Oryza sativa Japonica Group: one gene and its partner. The protein of the gene in region 2 interacts with the protein of the main gene of each other region in a pairwise test. Links are inferred from orthologs where the notes say so. Each region holds a gene or a part of one and is shown on either strand. Other genes may lie near its edges.

What was found. The genes of interacting proteins can lie anywhere in the genome.
Region 1: the proteins of zinc finger protein CONSTANS-LIKE 14 (region 2) and B-box zinc finger protein 32 interact in binary tests that used the Arabidopsis thaliana proteins (3 or more experiments, as listed by UniProt). The link is inferred for Oryza sativa Japonica Group from reciprocal best matches to the Arabidopsis thaliana genes BBX13 and BBX32.

The regions. Positions count from the first base shown.
Region 1 is NC_089040.1:28,116,394-28,120,229, forward strand, and holds B-box zinc finger protein 32, read left to right. Parts: upstream 1-1,836; 5' UTR 1,837-1,918; coding exon 1,919-2,644; 3' UTR 2,645-2,891; downstream 2,892-3,836.
Region 2 is NC_089042.1:26,940,347-26,945,397, forward strand, and holds the start of zinc finger protein CONSTANS-LIKE 14, read right to left. Parts: upstream 3,363-5,051; 5' UTR 3,250-3,362; coding exon 2,410-3,249; intron 1,223-2,409; coding exon 995-1,222; intron 7-994; coding exon 1-6.

The DNA.
Region 1 (3,836 bases), on a different chromosome or scaffold from region 2:
ATTTTAACTAAAGTCAAAACGTTTTATAGCCTGAAATGGAGGAAGTAATTTATTAAGACTAATTAGGGATAACTTTGTCATATACTTTTTTTCTTTCTAGATCGATATGTGGTCATTCATTTTGCTGGTATCGCTTATATTCCGTAAAAAAAAAGTTGGAAGTTTTAGCCACTGCTAAATGCTGATTATACCTTTCCATAACTATTTTTTACATAATGCCCTTTATATTTATACTCTCATTAGCAGGGATAGTAGTACAAACAAATTTAAACTTTTTGATTAAATGATATTAACGGTTTAGATTATATTCAAGTATCAGGAAATAGCATTGTAGTGGGGCTCAGCATCCTCAGATGTTTTGGGTAAGCGCCGTGTCTAAATCCAAACGGTGGCTAGGACGATTCTAACACTTCTTTTTAAGTACTAATCAACAATTTACAATTGGTCTCTCGAAGCGTGGCGCGGTGTCGCCTATCTCCACCCCTCAACGAAAGTGGACTAGGATATTTTCCTCTCCGTTGATGGTGGGTTGCTTTACCGCGACGTAACCACGAGATAGTCACAGCGATTTATACCCACAATGTGGTCATCAACCAATACGGATCGATCTCCTTCTCATACCACGAGTATATAATATTCTACGATTGTGACCATATTAAAATTGCAAGGCCAGGAGAGGATGACGAGTAGTACCAGTGGTGGCAACGTACGACGTTCGTGTTGGCATAAACAAACGAGGGGACTAGATTCGATCGCCCAAATCTTTTAACAGCTCGTCAGCAACAAGCTGAACCCCAAGCATATCGTTCTCTCTAGCCACAGCAATATTTTACTAAACTAAACCGCAATTTGCAGTGCGACGAGAAGGGGATGGAAAGGATTTTTTAATTTGATCCTAATATATAACACCGTGCGTCTAGAATCGTCAAACGCTAAACAAACTCACAAGTGGCAGATGGAAATTTCAAACAAATAAATCCATGCCCCCAACTAGGAATTAAACAAATCCAACCCCAACCGAAAGGAAACAGCAATTCCATCGATCAGCTCCCATCCAGGACAGGCGAAAGAAGAAGACGAATTAAACACCAGAAACAATAACCAATCGTGACAACAAACAAAACCACGACCAGGGGAGGAAGTGACCGGCCGGTGGGCGCTGAATTCGACCCGGGACGATACGAGGTTTGTGTGGCCACCAACGCCTCTACGATCTCCCAACGAGCGGCTCCAATTAACCAATTTTAGGCCATTAGCCCCCCATAACCACTTGTGTCAATGTGTGAGCCTGATTTGATCCTGCTAATAAAGTATCCCAACTCCTCCATGGAAATCCCTCCAAGTGTCGACCACCCATCGATCCACCGATCCAACGGTGTACGTTTATGTGTGTGTGACAGCCACAGCGACGTTGCGAATCCTGTTTCGTTAGAGAGCAGGTACAACAGCACACTATAAACCAACTCTAAATATATTTTAAAAAGATAAAAGACTAGAGAGAAAAATAGCATACTACATATTTGTAACTAGATATAGCACGGACTTTAAAGACGCAGTTTGTGTGTGATAGGTGAGATCAGGTATTAGTAGTGTTGTATATAACTATTGTATAAATTGACCGTAGATGATTTCGAGCTAGTAGCTGGCTATCCTATTAAACTTGCTCTTACGAAAGATTTTCGTCGTCACATTCCGTTTCCCATCATTCCATGTACGCCGCTGCTGCACGTGTGATCGAGAGAAAATTCGCTGCTTTTTTGTGTGTTTGTGTGTGAGGCGGTGAGCTGAAGCTCGTCGCGCGCTTTAAATACGCGCGCCACGCCACGTGGGGTGGTTAGGCATCGTCACGGCGCGCGACGCGATCGGAGAGAGAGAGAGAGAGAGAGAGAGAGCTCGTGTCGTGTGGTGAGGTGAGGGGATGGGTGGCGAGGCGGAGCGGTGCGCGCTCTGTGGCGCGGCGGCGGCGGTGCACTGCGAGGCGGACGCGGCGTTCCTGTGCGCGGCGTGCGACGCCAAGGTGCACGGGGCGAACTTCCTCGCGTCGCGGCACCACCGGAGGCGGGTGGCGGCCGGGGCGGTGGTGGTGGTGGAGGTGGAGGAGGAGGAGGGGTATGAGTCCGGGGCGTCGGCGGCGTCGAGCACGTCGTGCGTGTCGACGGCCGACTCCGACGTGGCGGCGTCGGCGGCGGCGAGGCGGGGGAGGAGGAGGAGGCCGAGGGCAGCGGCGCGGCCCCGCGCGGAGGTGGTTCTCGAGGGGTGGGGCAAGCGGATGGGCCTCGCGGCGGGGGCGGCGCGGCGGCGCGCCGCGGCGGCCGGGCGCGCGCTCCGGGCGTGCGGCGGGGACGTCGCCGCCGCGCGCGTCCCGCTCCGCGTCGCCATGGCGGCCGCGCTGTGGTGGGAGGTGGCGGCCCACCGCGTCTCCGGCGTCTCCGGCGCCGGCCATGCCGACGCGCTGCGGCGGCTGGAGGCGTGCGCGCACGTGCCGGCGAGGCTGCTCACGGCGGTGGCGTCGTCGATGGCCCGCGCGCGCGCAAGGCGGCGCGCCGCCGCGGACAACGAGGAGGGCTGGGACGAGTGCTCGTGTTCTGAAGCGCCCAACGCCTTGGGTGGCCCACATGTCAGTGACACAGCTCGTCAGAAATGATACTTATGCAGAGGCTTTGTTTGATCTCTTTTTCTTTTCCCATTACAAAGAGTGTTAAGTAGAACTAAATCTCGTGACTAGCCTCTCAAGAATATTGGTGTAGTAGATTTTCTTTCCTTTTCTGTTTGAAAAAAAAGAGGTGGCTACCAATGCTGTAACTTCACATATGTGATTAGATGATAGTGCTATAGGGAACCATACATTGGTCTAATTAATTATTGGTGATTTGATTAGACTTGTGAACAAATTTGTGGCTCACATCATTCACATGCTGTTTGGTCGTGTGGGGGAAAATATCTGGAGTTGTGGATCATAGCACATGCACACAGAATAACAGAAAGTCATAAACTGTTTGCAAAGTTTAATGTTGTGGAGTCAGAGATCAGCATGCAGCCTTAGTGGCTTATGTCATCATGCAGAAGTTAGCAATGGATGACTTTAATTTGAGATTAATTCAGAAGCTTACAGTTTGCACTACCTTGTGTAATTTGAGATTTGACATTTTTATATTTGCCTCCTGTATTGGATATCAGAGCATGATGGATTGATATAGGGTTTATGACTTGGAAGTTAAAAGAGGAGTTTGCCCACACTTCCAGCTCCTAGAAATCTTTTTCACATAAAGGAATACACAATACACGAATATGTACTGATTAAGCAATGACTAAACATGAATTGGATCTCCAGCAGTATTTACTTATTAGTAGTTGAAATGTACTGTACTAGGAGTATGTGTTTTCTGGGTGAATGTGCTGATCTTGAAGACTTGATGAAGACTTGATCAAGTTCAGACTATCACTTTCAGAGTTTCCGTACCACCGAAGCACCGGCTTTCTCGTTCATTGCGTCAGTAAGATGGAAGAAGAGGCTGCTCATCGTCCTCGCTGAGTACAAATATGCAACCTCAAACCAATTTCCAACCCTAAACTAAACTAGAACATATCTTGAATTCTCGATCATTCACACGTATACATCTGATTCAAGTATCCTCCAAGATAAGTGGATTGTCCTACTGCTTAATGCTTCTCAGAGAAACAGGTTTGCTGCAGAGATATTATTAGTTGTTACCTGCACAAGTGTATAAATCATTCTTGAGTCTTGACAAGCACTATAATACTCCCTTCGTTTTATATTATCGATCGATTTGCCTTTTTAAAGATAAACTTCTCAAAAGTTTAATCAAGTTTATAAA
Region 2 (5,051 bases):
GCTTGGCTGCAAGGAAAGTTCAAGCAGAGAACATGAGTAACTGAACTGAAGATACTCCTCTGGTCCTATATACTACCATCACAAATGCAGAATTTTACAGGGTAGCAAACAGACAGCAATTTTTTTTAGGATAGCCCCAGATAGTGGTTTGGTACTTCCTACAATGACACTTACCCTACAATGACACCAACCAAGAAAAACGTGGTGGGGCTTTCTATGATACAACAAAATTGGCCTTTCAATGTTTCGCAACGAAACAAGATGCGTCCATGACTTGGTGGACCAAAGGAGGAGGAAACAAGGATCTGTACGGTGGTCCATAAATATCGCGGTGATTGAAACAAGCTAAAAGTGTTCACACCATATGGGACCATGGTGCCAACTTATACAAGAATAGCCCCCCTTTAAAAAGATAAGATCGAATTAGGAACATAACACTGGAGCCATTGCAGAAGTTAGTGGCGCATCAACATCAGCGAAAGCTCTGCCATGGGGTCAACTGGGAAGTTAACAGGTAACAACTAAAAGAGTGTCCATGCCACACACAGATGGAGTACCAAATGTCCACGTGAGCATGCACATTTTAAGAAGGAAAAGGCAAAAAGTTCCTTTTCAGAAAGTCCATCAGCTTCTTCAAGCAAACCTGTTGTTAGTGATTTGCTTAAATCGATACCTTGGGCTTTGTCATAGATTATTAGTATGAAGTGTAAGGCTTGGTAACAAATAAGAGGATCCTATACAGATAGATAAGGTGTTCTAACACTACTTTTATCCTTGCTGTTGGAAGTTACAGTGCTAATCAAAAGATACCAAAATTGCAAGAATTATGAGATTCATCAGATGCATGGATTGATGCCACTTCTTCTCTAGCACAAGGCAGTATGAGAATACCTTGCTTGGCACCACTAAGCTAGGTGAATTGTGTGCTAGGTGCGCTGGATAAGCACAGTCAGCAAGCATATTTTACGTTGGAAAAAAGGGGATTATGGCTTACATTTTTCGATGACAGCTGACAGACATTAGTCGACATGATATCTTCGGCAGCTGCAAAATATCTTGAGTCATAAATATCTTCCAGATCCTTCGTTGTCCCAGAAGAAATCTCCTTGAGCATGTCATTATAACTCTTAATCATAAAGCCTCCATTGTTTGAGCCAAATCCAACTTCAAGTGCAGAGTTCTCATTGTGATCCCTTGATTTTCCCAAATTAAAATCCCATATCTGTCACGCCGATAACAAGAAGAGAACCGTAAGTTTTAGGCCATGAAATGAAGCTCATTCCAGGGTAAACTAGAAGAAGCATTGAAATATTTAGGAGATGGATTAGCAAGGGTGATTAGTTGAAAAACATTCTTTCCTTTGATGACAGTTCTACTAGTATATATATGCCTACGGAAAGTTAATTATTTGCTTGATTAAAGCTAGACAGTCTGTAGCCAAAAGTCAGGTAAAGCTCATTGCATCAACACACCATGATTCAAGAGCCTATTTGCACACCCCAGGTCATAGGATCTATCTCATATCTGAAGGGGCAAATACTCTGAAGAATGCAGTACAGCAGTAGTATGAAATATCTACATACAATGCACTTTCCATATTGTGATAGCAACATCTCCTCAGAAAGTTCTGTCTAACTTGCATTATTGAAAAGGAAAAAACACCCATCCTCATCAGCCCAATTTGCACATTCAATGCCCCTAAAACAATGCTACCCAGTCCATGATACTTTACTTTTTTGCAGTAAGAGTCCATGAAAGTTTATTGTGCCTGCAAGCAATCTCTGAAAGAACCGGTTCATAAATCGTGCATGATGGCAACAAGGATAAATTTATGTCTACTCAAAGTAATAGAATCATTCTGTTATGTGGTTGAAAAAAAACTAGGAAATAGAACTAGACAGGACACGAAAACCACATGAAAAACCAGTATCATGTACAAAAGCACAGAGATGTAAAATTTCAATAACTCGCACCTATAGTGTTCATCACAAAACCACAGTGGTAGTTCTCTTGAAAGGTTCAAACATCCAATTCTTTTACCCATCCCCTCATCCACAAGAGATTAGAGATCATAACCGCATCTCTCAATCTGAATGATCTGCACAACTGAGCACGAACTACACAAGTGATGGGTCCAACACCACCATTCGTACAGTTTGTTCTATTGCTAGATGTGAACCAATAAGATCCTAACACCACGTGATCTTAATGAGTGTGAAGCTACAAATAATTCGACTAATTAAGCAATGCAACTAACATTGCTCACACTAATCAAACATTGAACAGGCCAGAAATGCAACAATTAACCATTACCCCAAAAACAAAAATCAAACATTGAATATACAGCGAAGATGCAATCGTAATTCAGAAGATGTGTGCTTATTCAAAAGAAATTCTGCTTCTTTTTACCTGGGTTGGTGGCACTGATGGCGCGGTGCTCTCCCACAGAACATTTTCATCTTCGTCTCCAACACGGTTGTTTTCCATGAGCTCGGTGCAGTTGGCCGGCGCCATCATGAGCAGTGAAGTGTACGGCAGCGGCGCCGCCGTCGCAGCAGCATGAGGCAACGGCGGGGGAGCTTGCTTTTCCTGCAGGCGGCCGCTCGCCGCGGCGGAGGTCCGGCGAGGCGTGCGGGGGCTCAGATCCGAGTGCGGCTGCGTGTGCGGGTGCGCCGTCTCGGCCTCCCGGCGCGCCATCTCGGCGAGCTGGTGGCCGAGCGCCTCCCCCTTGAGTCGCCGCCCGCCGCCGGCCACCACCACCTCGGGCGGGTCGCATGGCACGTAGAGGTCGCGCAGCACGGGGTCGACGGCGAGCATGGAGTAGTCGAGCGCCGAGAAGAACGCGTCGTCGGCCTCCTCCTCCTCGCCGCCGCAGCCGCCGGGGAGGTCGAGCCCCCACGACGCGGCGAGCTCGGCGGCGGCGGGGCACCCGGAGAACCCCTCGACGGGCACCCGCAAGGCCGCGCCGTCGTCGCCGCCGCACCCGGTGTCGCAGTCCGCGCACAGGAACGCCGGCGCCGAGGCGGAGGCGACGCGCGCGGCGGCCGGCCTGGCGGCGCAGGCGGCGCAGAGCGGGGCGCGGACGTGCTTCCGCGAGAGCGCGTTGGCGGCGTGCACGTGGCGGTCGCAGGCGACGCACAGCCTCGCGGCGTCCGCCCTGCAGTGCAGCGCCGCCGCCGCCTCCCCGCAGTAGTCGCAAGGCCACTGCTGCTGCTGCCCCCTCCCTCCTCCTCCACCACCATCCTTCATCTCGCAAACCGAATCAAACCAAACCAAATCGAAGCGCGAGGAGGAGGAGGAAGGAGGCGGGGGTCTACGACGACTTTTGAGCTCGGAAGCAATGCAATGCAGGAATGAGGAGGAGGGAGAAGGCAGCGAGGTGGTGGAGAAGAGAAGACGGCGAGAATGAGATGAGATCCGGTGCGGAGCGCGCGAACACGGGACACGGATTCGGACTCGTTCCCGCGCGTCGAGGTGGAGGGAGGGTGGGGCCCGCTTGTCAGTGGGCCAGGGGTGTCGGGAAATATCTCTCCGGCTTTAGCTGAGCTGGTGGGGGTGACGTGGTCGGGCCCACCAGAATGCGGCGCTAATTGATTTTTCGGATGAATTTTATCATAATTCTGGACTTGAAAACATTTTTCGTTTAGAGGCTGTTACAAAACGGGATGCCGTTGTAACAGGATAGACATATTAACTATTTTCTTGTATGAGTATCACATGTATCAGGTCTTAGGTATCACAGATATAAGGGTGTCCCGTTCCAACAGGATACCGTTGTTTAGGTTTTCTGTTTCGTTTAAGGATAGAATTAGGAACATGTCCTCGTATATAATATGCTTAACAAAAGTCGATAGATGACTGTTGGACTTTATAAGGAACGAGGGCATATTTTTGTAATGAATTTCAAAACGTTTAAGAATCAGTATCCTTCCCAACATTTTGATTGATTGCATGTTTCGTTATATTATGTTTTATTTTTTGACTTTTAAATTATCCCTATAATAAGGATCTTTTTTTACTTGCTATATATATTGGCACATATGGGTGCGATATTTTTTACCGGAATAAAAATTTTCAAAAAATACCGAAACATTTTTTGGACATATTGGAGTGTATTGGGTGCGTCCGTGTCGAAAAATCACCCCGTAACTCGCGTGACGAACTTTTATCAATTAATACTAATATTATCATATGTATACATTTGGAATGTAAAAAATAGAAAACCTTTTCAAATGTCACCAGAAGTAAAGCTACTACTCTTCCTGTAAAATTCTAATAAAATTCCCATGCACCAATTAATTAATTAGACTACCTTAATTATGGCATTTACTCTAATATGAAGTAATAAAATACATATAATGATACCACGAGTTTGTGATTAAGATATACTCCTCCGTTTTCAGCATGTAAGATTACTTGGTTTATTCAAAATTAAATTTCTTTAAGTTTCATCAAGTTTAAGGAGCAACATTTTTACACCAAACAAATATATAATGAAAATATATTCAATGGTGGATTTCATAAAATTAATTTGGTATAATAGGTATACTGTTTTTTTCATACACTTGGTTAAACTTGAAGAAATTCGATTTATATCAAAACCGAAGCATGAAAAAACAGATGGAATATAGGAGCAGAAACAAGGTGAGATTGATCGATAAGAGATGCCATCATTATACTAGTACAAAATTGTCAATGCCGTGTGAATTGGATTGCAGGAGTTGCTACAAGATGTAATTGGTCATTTGTCATGGTTCAACGTCCTAACATAAAAGTTATAAAGTGATAGATTAGTACGACATAGAAAAAAAAATATCTCCAAAAGATAGAGATGGCCCTAGGAATAGCTAGCCGCACGTGCTCCCGTAGAAAGCAAGTGATCTACAGTAAGCACAATTAATTTGCACGATAAACGTAGCTACCTAAATTACCTACGAGTTGACCTCAATGATAATCCTAAGAGACATACTAAATTTTTTTCATAGTAAAGTTAATTTTGGATGCTGGAAATTAATATTGATAATGGAATTATGGCAATACTCTACTTGATA